Linked DNA regions of Coturnix japonica. The protein of the gene in region 1 binds, or shares a complex with, the protein of each later gene. Links are inferred from orthologs where the notes say so. Each region holds a gene or a part of one and is shown on either strand. Other genes may lie near its edges.

The links. The genes of interacting proteins can lie anywhere in the genome.
Region 2: the proteins of NSUN4 (region 1) and MTERF4 are in contact, whole or in part, in a crystal structure (PDB 4FP9), measured with the Homo sapiens proteins. The link is inferred for Coturnix japonica from reciprocal best matches to the Homo sapiens genes NSUN4 and MTERF4. Residues at the interface, in NP_950245.2 of Homo sapiens: Pro61, Ser62, Arg64, Val65, Leu68, Ser69, Glu70, Arg136, Gly137, Asp138, Ile139, Arg141, Asn367, Leu368, Met369; in NP_872307.2 of Homo sapiens: Tyr267, Glu269, Arg270, Leu271, Gly272, Arg273, Glu311, Glu312, Val315, Phe316, Lys318, Leu319, Arg322, Glu323, Glu326.

What each region holds. Positions count from the first base shown.
Region 1 is NC_029523.1:19,165,148-19,171,415, reverse strand, and holds the start of NSUN4 (5-methylcytosine rRNA methyltransferase NSUN4), read right to left. Parts: upstream 3,643-6,268; 5' UTR 3,275-3,642; coding exon 3,179-3,274; intron 2,852-3,178; coding exon 2,448-2,851; intron 1,780-2,447; coding exon 1,625-1,779; intron 1,475-1,624; coding exon 1,320-1,474; intron 809-1,319; coding exon 684-808; intron 491-683; coding exon 217-490; 3' UTR 1-216. Other genes in the region: cytochrome b-c1 complex subunit 6, mitochondrial, read right to left, coding at 3,982-4,014, 4,100-4,261, 4,388-4,411, 4,503-4,544; LRRC41 (leucine-rich repeat-containing protein 41), read left to right, coding at 4,686-4,794, 4,868-4,954, 5,144-5,214, 5,606-6,268. UniProt on the Homo sapiens protein: Mitochondrial RNA cytosine C(5)-methyltransferase that methylates cytosine to 5-methylcytosine (m5C) in various RNAs, such as rRNAs, mRNAs and some long non-coding RNAs (lncRNAs).
Region 2 is NC_029524.1:3,757,614-3,762,755, forward strand, and holds MTERF4 (transcription termination factor 4, mitochondrial), read right to left. Parts: upstream 3,193-5,142; 5' UTR 3,163-3,192; coding exon 2,757-3,162; intron 2,657-2,756; coding exon 2,472-2,656; intron 2,350-2,471; coding exon 1,936-2,349; 3' UTR 1,867-1,935; downstream 1-1,866. Other genes in the region: SNED1 (sushi, nidogen and EGF-like domain-containing protein 1), read left to right, coding at 124-204, 417-453; PASK (PAS domain-containing serine/threonine-protein kinase), read right to left, coding at 3,616-3,815, 3,999-4,145, 4,911-5,044. UniProt on the Homo sapiens protein: Regulator of mitochondrial ribosome biogenesis and translation. Binds to mitochondrial ribosomal RNAs 16S, 12S and 7S and targets NSUN4 RNA methyltransferase to the mitochondrial large ribosomal subunit (39S).

The DNA.
Region 1 (6,268 bases):
TATTATCCTGAACCTGTTCGCATAAGATGAAAACAATTTAGCCCATTTAATATGTTTTAAAAAGAAAAATAAATATCCTTTAAATATGCTTTCTCTGGACATTCAGGGTATGTCATGATAACCAGCAAAAGGGAAACAACATCAGTTCCAAACACGACAGCCCAGAGATGTACAGTGAGGAAAGCTGAGCTGCCCCAAACCCAGACCTTTCATCCCTTATTCTCGGCGTAACTTGCAGAAATACATAGGCCCAAAGTTGGCTGTGAGGTGAGGAAGAACGAGCTCCCCCAGCCGGCAACCTGAGAAGAAACAAAACGTGTCCTGGAAGAGCATTCGGAAGTGGCTCAGGTCCTCAACGTGGACAGTGATGTTGAACTGAGTTTCTGCGATGTCTATCGCTCTCTCAACCACATGTTCATTCTGCAGCGGAGAGAGGGAGCACGTGGAGTACACCACCTCTCCTTCTGGTTTGGCAGCAAGGATCCCAGCCCTATGGACAAGATAAAACAAACATACCACCAGGGGAGGAAGAAGAAAGCATGGGATAACAGCACTATAATAACTGTGTGTGCCAGTACATAACCCATATGGAGTGGGGAGAGCTCTTGACTAGGCACATGTGAAGTAAGAAGAGGTTTCAGTGCTAATACATACAGCAACAAAACAGCTTCAAGCTCACTCACATCAGCAGCTGTAACTGCAGCATTGGCAACATCTGACGCTCCTTGGTTCTTATTTTGTGGAAGATGTTGTTCTCCTCCTCCATGACAGAGTGTCTGTCTGTTGTGCAGGGCACATCCACAAGGACCTGGAGCAGCACAGATCCCACATCAGCTTTGGGCCCTGGTCTGTCTCAGAAATCCCCCACCATCACTTCACCCAATGCTTCCACCACACCACACAAATGTAGCCCTCTGTACGTTGCCTAGCTTATGCCACCAGATAAAAGTACAACTCAGAATGCCCATACTCTCAGGTCCTGGAGGAATGGTATAGCTAGATGAAATACTGCTCTATCATTGGCTTAGCTTTAGCTCTTGTTCAGCGTATCAGGCTATGTAAAACTACACGATCACACTGTTGGGTAAGCTGCTGTCTCACTTTGAAACAGGAAAAAACTAAGCTAGATGTGAGGTGCTGACATAGAGAGAGAGCTGTGTGTGCCCCGTCCCTGGGGGTGCCCCAGGTCGGATGGGGACCTGGGTAGCCTAAAGTGGTGGGGCAACCAGCCCACAGCAGGGACTGGAACTGGATGGGCTTTGAGGTCCCTTACAACCCAACATTTATATGATTCCCTTCACTAGTTTCCAGTCACTCACCTTATGAAAAGTTGTACGTTGCAGCTCCCCCCAGTCCCTTCCATCATGCGATGTAACGCTCACAGCCTCCCTGACCTTCTTGGGAATGTAGCTATTGAGAATGTGATACAACCTCTTTGTTCGGGAAATGGAGACATCATTGGCTGCCAGATACCCTGAGGTGAGAGATGGGAAACAGCATGCTGAGAAATTCACCCTGGAAAACAAAACCACACCAACTCCTATAAGCAGAAAAGATGAACAGAAAGGTATCGCCATGTACCCTGCACTCTCAGTCTCAGCTTTACTAACTCCCCTCCACTTACCACAAGCCCCAGTCTGCAGCAGAGCCAGCGTCTTGCCACCTGGAGCTGCACAGAGGTCCAGGACGAGGTCATCTGGCTTCACATTGAGGGCCAAAACGGGCAGGAGGGATGCTGCATCCATGAGATAGTAGCTGAGGATCCCAAGAGAGTCTGGCCTGGAAACCACCATTTTGCATATAGAAAACAAAGAAAAATATATAGTTGGAAGCTACGATGGGTATAACCAAAAGGAGCTGGTGCTAACAGCTTGATGCTGGTGTAGCAGGAATGCTAAGTCACAGCTTGAAGCAGTGATGGGGCACCTGGTGGGAAGGCAGGGCCAACCCAGGGGAGCTCAGGTGCGTGCAATGCACTCACACCAGGTGAGTGACTGGGAGGGTTGGAGCCAGGATCTACTCCTTTACAGCCCTCATTTAAAGGCTGGCAGTGGAGGTGAGGGTGTCTCTCTGGAGAACTTCTAAGGTAAGAAGCTTTTTTTTTTCTTCCTTTGTTTCTGTATTTGGGCTTGTTCTCATTTGCTGAAGCCTAAGACTGTGCCGCCCCGCTACTATCACATTATAGATTACAGTATTACAACTAGCAATGTTGGTTCATAGCAGGAATAGTTATAGAAACACAGACTCGTGGAATCATAGCATAGCTGAGTTGAAAGGAACCTTATGGATCTATCAACCAGCTCCAACCCCTGCTGTGGGCTGGGTGCCCCCCTACCAGCTCTGACTGTCTAGGGCCCCTGATGTGGGGCAGTTAATACAGCACTATAGAAGCCTGGCTGGATATAGGTCGGCACTATTCAATGTCAATAGCAGGCGAACCATCTCACCACGCAGGACGGAAGCGTGAGATGTCGCCCCTGGGGAAGGTGTAGCACTTGATGTTGGAGCTGACAGAGGCACGAAGCAGCGGTGACGTCTCTGCTGGCACTGCTGGCCCATCTCCACCAGACCCCTCCAGGGTTTTCCTCTTCTCTGCTTCTACCCCTGCACTTTCCTGCCAACACTGATCCCTTCTGGCAGCTTCAGAAACAAAATCGGTGGCACCGAGCAGCTCCAGCTGCTGGGCGACGAGGTCGGCAGAGGTGAAGTTGTTGAGCAGGGCGCCGTATTTCTGCTCGCACAGCATTGCTGCTCGCACGGCCGGCCAGAGCTCCTGCAGCTGCAGACTGTACGTGGTGTCAAAGTGATGCAGCGCCAGGCGGGTGGCCGGGATGCGAGGGGAGGTGGTGGCCTTTGGAAAGAGAGATCCAATGGGTGAAGGGACTGGGAGACCAAAAGACGGAGCTGGGGGCTGGTATGTGGGAGGGGAAAGGCAGGTGGACTCAGGGAGAGGTGTATGGGGTGTAAGATGGGATAAAGGAAGGAGTGTAGGAGGGTGCAATGAGAGCCGCGATGGGTGTAATGGGGAGGGGGGGAAAGAGTGCATTAGCAACAGTGCTGGGGGAAGGGGGGTGGTAAAGGGGATGAAAGACAGAAAAAGGAGGTGCGATGGGGGAGGCACAGCGAGGGGACGGACAGATCAGAGGGAAGAAAAGCGCGGAGCTGCCCCGGTTCTCACCCACTTCTTCTTGTAGAGGTACCGCCGGGACACGGGGCTCAGCCCCAGCACACGAACCCTCCGCAGCAGCACAGCCCGGCCGCCCGGTGCCGCCATGGCTGCGCTCAGCAGCGCCTTCCGGGGCGGGACCGGAGCTCACAGCCCGCCCCTGGTTGGAGGCGGCCGGGGACACGCGGTAACGTTGCGGTGCCGCTCAGATGCAGGGCTTTGCAAGCTGCACGAATAGAACTGTTTGGAGCCGATAGGGATTGAGCTTGAGAATCCCCAGTATAAGGATTGTATTGCTGCTACTGCTCACTGTGGTGCTACAGCAGAGCAGCACTCAGACTCGGATGGCACCACCACCGTGCCCACATGCAGCCCCATGGACAGCTGCTCTGGGTCACAACGCAGAGGTGACAACAGAAGCTCCATTAGCAATAAGGGCAGCACAATAAACAGGAATGGCTTCACCTCACAGGGGTGAAGTGTGTGGATCCAAGCAGGTGGGGTGGGCTCTGAGCCTCACTGCTTTCATCCTAACTCCATACCAGTACAAATGAGCGCTGCAAGGACTACGAAATAAACCAAGGGCACTTCCACAGGAACTTTGTATGTTTAATATGGAAAATTACAGAACATCCATATGTTTTTTATGAAGATGTGCAGCTGCAATGAGAACAGACACAATGACATTCTGGTGCTCGGTCGGTGCCAAGAAGCCACTTGGTTTATACTTCACGTTGGCGATAAAGAGGCAGAACTGCGAACCAACGAGGCTCTTCGTTTGGACTGTGGAAGCAGATGGATGATCACTCCTTCATTCACTTCAGCTTGCTGAAGAGTTTGTGGGCAACCTGGAAGAGGAGACGCTTTAAGCTCAGGAGCACAACAAGAGCCTCTCAGCTCCTATAGGGATGCACCCAGCAGTGCAGCACTCACACAGTGGTCCCGGGCGTGCAGGAAGTCGAAGAGCTCCTCGGTGCACTGCTCCTCCGTGTGGGACCGCGAGGACACCCGTGCATCGCACAGCTCCAGCCGCTCCCGGGCCTTCACGCACTTCTCGGTCTGCTCGCAGTGCTCCCTCACAGTGGTCAGCGGGTCCTATGGACGCGATATAAGCACAGACAGCCCGAAAGGCGGCGGTTTAACACAGGTTCCTTCGTTTTAAAGGCCCAGCTAGCAGCCCGGACCCACCCCGTGCCCACAGGCCCTCACGCCCCGACTCACCACCAGCTCCTCCTCCTCTTCCTCCTGCGGACAAAGCACAGCACAGCCGTTACCGCTCGCTCTGACCCCAGGCCTCGTCCCGTCCCCTCGCTCAGCCCCGCCCGGCTCCGCTCACCTCGGGTTCTCCGGCGTGAACAACCGCGTCCCGCAGCCCCATGGCGGCACCAGGACTCACCAGGGTCACTCGACGGAAGTGCCGCTCTACGCTCCGGAAGCGCAGATCTCAAGATGGCCGCCTGCTCTTCCCCCTCACCCCAATGGCGGTGGGAGCGAGGAGGCGGGGCCGGGTCCTCCCAACATGGCGGCGCCGAGCGGGGTGATGTCGGCGGAGCGGCCTGACACGCTGCAGGCGCTGAGCGCGGCGGCCGTGAGCCGCAGTATGGCGGCCTTAGAGCCCGACGTGTGGGGTAAGGCGCGGGGTGGTGGTGCGGGGTGTCGGGTGCCTGCACGTTGCTGCCGTCTCCTTCTCGCTCTCCTCAGCGCTGCCCGGACACCTCCTGCGGGGGCTGCTGCCGCTGCTGTCCGTGTTCCGGCTGGAGAGAGCCGAGGCCGCCGCGAGGAGAGCAGGTAAGAAAGGGGGCGATCTTAGTAACTGAGAGATGAACCCATTTACTTCATCGCACTCTGAGCACGTTCCTTGTCCCAGTCTGACCCTGCACCCCCTCTCCTTCCATTGCCCGCTGTGGGAGCACCGAGCGGGGCTTCCAGCTGAGGAAGAAAGGCTGAGAGCAGCACCTGGTTTCTTTTCTTTTCCAGGGCTGTCCACGCAGCCCATCTGGCGCCAGCTGTGGGATGATGTGATGAAAACCAGACCCCCCAACTCAGAGGTGAGGAAACTGCATTGACACACATGGGTTCTGCTTTTACTCAATGTCACACTGCTGCTGGGCACTTGTAGAGCTTGAGACCAACGCATGGCTCTTGTGTAAGTTTGACTATGGGAAATAAGCATCTGTTGTGAGGGATGAGCTGTACACAGCCTTGATATCACGTCATTAAGTGTGCTGAAAGAAGAAAACTGGCTTTACAGATGCATTTCTTTAGGGGAACAGAAGGTAAAAACAATATCTTGTATCAGGGTTAAACCTCCGTGTGCTGAAGTCACGTGTTGGATACCTGTGTGGTAATTTGATTCAAAGATGGTGGCTGACTCTTTGTTAGCACAGCCTTTACTTCCACTTTTTAATCCCGGTTGACTCTAAGATGGTTTAATTGCAGAATATCCGCTGCTGGAAGAAGAAGTTCTTTGAAACGTTCTTCTCAAACGTTCTTCATGGTGTCTTGGATGTTTCCTCTGACTGGCGCCTCAATGACCATCATTTCTCCCCGCTGCTCCACAGCTCACCCCATGTGAGCCAGCTTACTCTGTGTAACATGCTGCAGGGTGCGGTGGAGCTCGTTGCGGAGCGCAACCAAAAAGTGCTTGAGAACTTGGCCAGCTCATTGCGGATCCTGAAGTTCCAGCACCTCCTCTCCTCTGACCAGTCCATCAGGCATTCGCTGGTTTTACTCCTTCACCGGCTGATTCACCATGGCTCTGTCAGCCACGTGTCCATGTGTGCCTGGCCTGTACCTGACACGGTTCTTCTTGTTCTCATTTTGAGTATGAGTGCTGGGTTTTGGCGCTCAGGAAATGCTCTTACGTATCACAGCAGCCCGTGTGGCCTTTGCAGAGAGGAGGGAGATACTCAAAGCCAGAAGACAACACAAGAGCCATCTGAGAAGGGCTGCTGCAGTGAGGAGTGGACTGATGGCATACACCAGAAGGAATCTCCTCGTGCTCTGGAGCAGGCTGATAGGCGAGCAGAGGTGAATGGACGGGTGGCTGACACTGGCCAGAACACTGCCCTCTCTGGACTGAATTGCTTTCCTTTGGAGAAC
Region 2 (5,142 bases), on another chromosome or scaffold:
TCTTTGCCCAGGCGTGCAAGAGTCAGCCACATTCATATCAATAGGGGAAACCTCCTTCCAGCAGTTACAAACACAGCTCTGTCCTTGTTACTCCATGCAGCTCCCCTCTCTCTGTGTGTGCAGGTACAAGAGGGTATACAAGGTACACCAGGATGTATGCTACAAGGAGAGCTGCGAGAGCACCGGTTCCAAGAACACCAGCAGGTACAGCCAGCAGAAACACTGCCCTCCCTCTGCTTGGGGGTCACAGTGTGGGCCCTGGGGTGCTGTGGGCAGGGAGGGGTGCAGGGCAGCTCATGAGGCATGTGCACACTCACTGTGTCTCCTGTACCTCAAGGCTGCATTGTTAGCGCCTTGTGGGAGCAATGGGTGAGGTGCTGCAGGACTGAGGGGTCTTTTCCTTCCTTCCCTTGCAGAAGACGAAGCAACAGTCACACACTGAAGAAGCCATAGTGTAAGTGTCTGCTCCAGGCACAGGCAGAAGCTCTGAAGGGGGGCAGGTCCCAGGCCAAGGCTGGCACAAGCTGGATGGGCTTTTGGGGGTTGGGGGCCCTTTGCACACCAGCTCATTCTCCTCCTGCCCCTCTGCAGGGTTCAAAGCAGTAGGAGCTTCATCCTGTCACATCTAAGGGCTTCTGAAACACCAGGAAGATCAGATCTGCTCACTGGGTTGAACGCAGCCAGGCCACCCTCCTGCCTGGCCTCAGCCACTCCCTCTCCTCCAGCCCGTTAGGGACACGCAGCCAGACTGACATCCAAGCAGCGCTGCCTTCTCTCTGCCAGACCAGCAGTGCCTTTGCCCTGCCCTGCCTTACCTACCCCTGGGGGTCCCTCAGCCCCTCTGGGCTTCTGGCTCTGCTCTGGACCCAACAGGCTGAGCCCACCAGCAGCTCTACCAACCTGTTTTCATAACCCAAGGTTATAAGAAGTTACCTATAACCCCCAAATAAAACAATTGAACATGGACCCCAAAGCCTTAGCTATCCCACGGTCTGGTGGGGAGGAGGTCTTTACATCTGTTCCCTACACCCAGGCAGCTTCCACTGCCCCCATTTGGTTGTCCTTTACTTTGTTTTATAAACAATGTGTGGTTTTAACCACCTTTCCAGCTCAGAAAGTGATGGAGCACCTCGCCTATACCAGGCAGGCTGGCAGCAGGGGGTGATGCTGCGCTCAGTGTGACACAGCACAAGGTGCCACCCCCCCCTGCACCCTGTCACCCAGTGGGGCTGCTGCCATCCCCGCGCTGTTTGTGGGTCCCCCGGTGACTGTAGCAGAGCCAGCAAAGAAGAGGAGGGGGGGAAAAAAAAGTAGCTTAGAAACGTTCCTAGTTGTTGTGAGTTTGTACGACGATGCTAGTTAAACATAGATTTGTGTATTGCCATACACGGTGTATATTATAAATTAATACGTACCAGAGATATATCGTAGTTACATAGTGTTGTGTCCCTGGCAGGAGGGGGGACAGCCCTGCAGTGCCTGTCTGAGCGCTGGGTAAGCAGCAGGGTGCCCTGCAGCGCTGGGGATGCTTCTGCCATGGGGAGAACCAGGTTTGCAGGTGGAGCCCTTGTTTATCTCTAAGGCTGTGGCCGCAATGGGATCCTCCCGTTGGAAAACCAGCCCCTGGGGTTGTGAGCTTAAGGATCCGGAGCAGGCTGGGCTGTGCCCCACAGCGGGGCCTGGCCCCTCTGCTGCCCTGCGCTGGAGCTGCCCTCCCTGCAGCGCTAAGACAGCAGCCTCCAGCACAGCACGAAACACAGCCAAAAGGTTTTAACTTAGTCTTTAAAAGAAATTAGTTATTGGGGTTCCGTGGGTGTTGGTGTTTTTATTTTCGGAGTGGGGGGGAGGGGGGTTGTTTTTTGTTCAGTTTTGTTTTGTTTTTAATAAATAAATAAAAACACTTTATAGAAACGCTATATTGTGTGGAGCAGCTGGTCAATGAGCTGGGGGGGGACGCGGGGCAGCTCGGGAGGGCTCGGTGCTGGGCAGGTCCTTGTCATCTCCATGTGCGTGCAGTGCAGCACTGCCCTCCTCTTCCTCTTCGTCCTCCTCTTCATCCTCCTCCTCCTCCATCTCCTGCTCCTCCTCCTCCCGTGCCAGCAGCCGTTTGAACACCTCGTACTCCTGGCTTGTTGCGCGGGCTGTGCCGGCCACGAAGTCTCCGTCGTCCGGCCGCAGCACGTCCCGCAGCGCCGGGTTGTCGCTCTGGCTCTGCCCCTTGTGCGGGGTGCGGTACAGCCCCCGGCGCTCCAGGAAGATGTGGCGGTTCCTGAGCTCGGCGAAGGGCGTGCAGAACAGCCGGGCCTTCACCATCTCCTTGTGCCGGACGCCCATCCTGAAGTACGCGTACTGCGCGTGGAAGCACACGGAGCTCAGCGGCACACGGAGCTCAGCGGCACACGGAGCTCAGCGGCACACGGAGCTCAGCGCCGCCCGGGCCGTGCCCGCAACCCCGGCGCTCCGCCCCGCACCTGGAAGTGGAGCTGCACGCGGCCCGGCTCCTCCAGCAGCACGCGGGGGCAGCTCCGCAGCAGCTCCGCCAGCTGCTCGGCCGTGAACAGGCACCGCTCCCGCAGCAGCCGCACCACCGCCTCCATCCTCCGCCGGGGCAGCGTCAGCACCTCGGGGCAGCGGCCCGTCAAGCTCTGCAGCCGGGCTATGAGCGGGGATATGGGCTGAGCGGGGATATGGGCTGAGCGGGGACACGGGCTGAGCGGGGCGCTCCCGGCCCGGCCTCCTCCCATCCCCGGCCCTACCTCCTTCCAGCCCCAGCCGCCGCAGGTACCCGGCGCGCTCCTTGAGCTGCGCGCTCCCCATCCGCAGCAGCTTCGGGCTCCGCTCCATCAGCCCCAGCGCGGCCTCCGCGCTCAGCCCCAGCAGCAGCAGCTGCGCCGCCGTGTCCACCCGCCGCTGCGGCTCGAGCCCCGGCTGCAGCAGGAGGAGCCGCCGGGCCTGCGCCTGGCTGAAGCCCATGGCCAGCAGCTCCGCAGCATCGCCCTGCTCCGAGCCCGGCGTGCAGCAGCGGGGCCGGGAGGACGGGACCAGCACCGGGACGAGGGCACGGGGCGCGGCGATACGCAGCACAGCCAGCAGCCGAACCGCCATGGCTCGGGGAGGAGCCCAGCACCGCGCAGCCGCCTCAATACAGGGGGAGGGGACCATCAGTTCCAACCCACTGCTGTGTTGGTGACCCTGCACCAACAGCACAGGCTGCCCGCAGCCACATCCAGGGCGCAGTTAACCAACAGGACCACAGTACACGTGGTTATTCTTCTTTTTTTTTTTTATCTGAAAGAGTAAAACTACATATAAAAGTAAAAACAGCCAATACAAATATATTCTGAGCTATAAACAATAGAAGAAGACAAAATAAAACCCCAACCCAAATCTCTCCCGGCTTAAAAACCCATTCTAGGTAAGAATAATTACAACCCTGTCAGCTGGACACAGCTTTGACACAGCTGCTGTGAGCCACAAGCAAGGGGCAGACCCTGGGCTGCAGTGTATAAAAGGGTCACAACTTACACTACTGAGCAACCAGGGTTTGCATACAGGAGGCACAAAAGGGACCAGGGTGAGAGCTGCACACCAGGGGCTAAACAAAGAGCCAGGCAGTCAGCGCTGCACTGGCAGGGGCTGCTGCAGGGAGCGGCTGCAGCGACTGCCCAGGCTCCAGCCCTGACCCCTGCCGGCTGCAGCTCCTTCCCAGGGGCGATGTGCGCACACACAGCTGGGAGCGCTCAGGCACGGCTCACTGCACACACCGGGAGCTGAGGGGCTGGCTCTGTATGAACCATTGCTCAATCCATTGCTGTCTAGAAAGAAAGATCAACAGCGAGGGATGAACCGTAGGCCCCACTGGTCAATGGGTCAAGTTCAAAGCACACGTGGTTAGCAAAAGATTGCCTTTGGGTAAAAGCACGTTGCTAACCACAGGCAAACCTTGTCTTATAAACCCTCCCCATGGTGGGGGAGGAAAAGCCTTCAGAACATCTCACCTGCCCCAGCAGAGACGTACACCTCTTCCCAGCTGTAATCACCCAGATTCACAGGCTGCTTCAGCCAAGGATCCTCCACCAGCATCTCTAGAGTTGTGCGCTGCTCCGGAGCGGGGTGCAGCAGCCCCACCATCAGATTCATGAGATCTGGGAAGAGACAAACAGCTCAGCCTGGATTTTAGGCATGCTGGGAATGCAAGATATGATTAATATTCAAAAGAACGCAGATCTCAATTACAAATCCTCCCTGCTAATCTCTTGTACCATCCTGTTCTATTGCAGCTCTATTCACAAGCACTTACGTGTGCTCAGCTCCTGGGATGATGGGATTTCCGGGTTGTAAGAAAGAACAGAGAGCAGTTCTGACCCCGAGGACAGAGAAACAAATGCCACAGAGGCAGCCCTAACAAACTGCTTTGGAGCCCAGCACACCTGGTTTCCTATAGCTCAAAGCAGGAGGCAATGAGTTTTTCCTATGATGTCAAGATATACGATTCATTAAGAAATCATATCCTAAGAGATGATCATCAAACATCCCCAGAGTGACACTCTGTCACTTGACAGTTGGTTCAAGTGAGATAAATCTTGCATTAGAGTTAGACAAGTGCCTCTATTGACTGAACATTATGTCCTATAGTCAGCCTTCCCAGCAGGCCTTGTTCTGCTTTTCTCAAGCATAAACCTCACTGAATTCTGACAAAACAATAGATTGAATCATCTTTGTAAGTGGGAGGACTGGAATTTGAAACTAATAAGACAGGCAGTAAGTAGCTGAATTGCAGGCATAGAGAACTGCAGAGCAGAATTTCTCTGCTTCAGAAAACAGCATTTTAAATCATTGCGTAGGACATTTGGAACCGTTTTCCCCTTTTTTCTCTGCTCGTATTTTCCTTTAAATGGGAGAAAAGTCACCTTTGGACACAAGGCGAGGAAAATTCAGGACAGCTGCCATGGCCTCTTCCAGCTCACAGAAAGGATTCTCTCCAAATACGAGGGTATAAAGGGTGACACCAAGTGACCACATCTCCAGCTCAGGGCCGCGGTACCTACACAGAGATACACAAGCTTGCATGAGTTCCAAATGCAACAACATAATTGTGTGCTAAGGAATGTAACCATAACCTGAAACTGCTAAATATTTAAA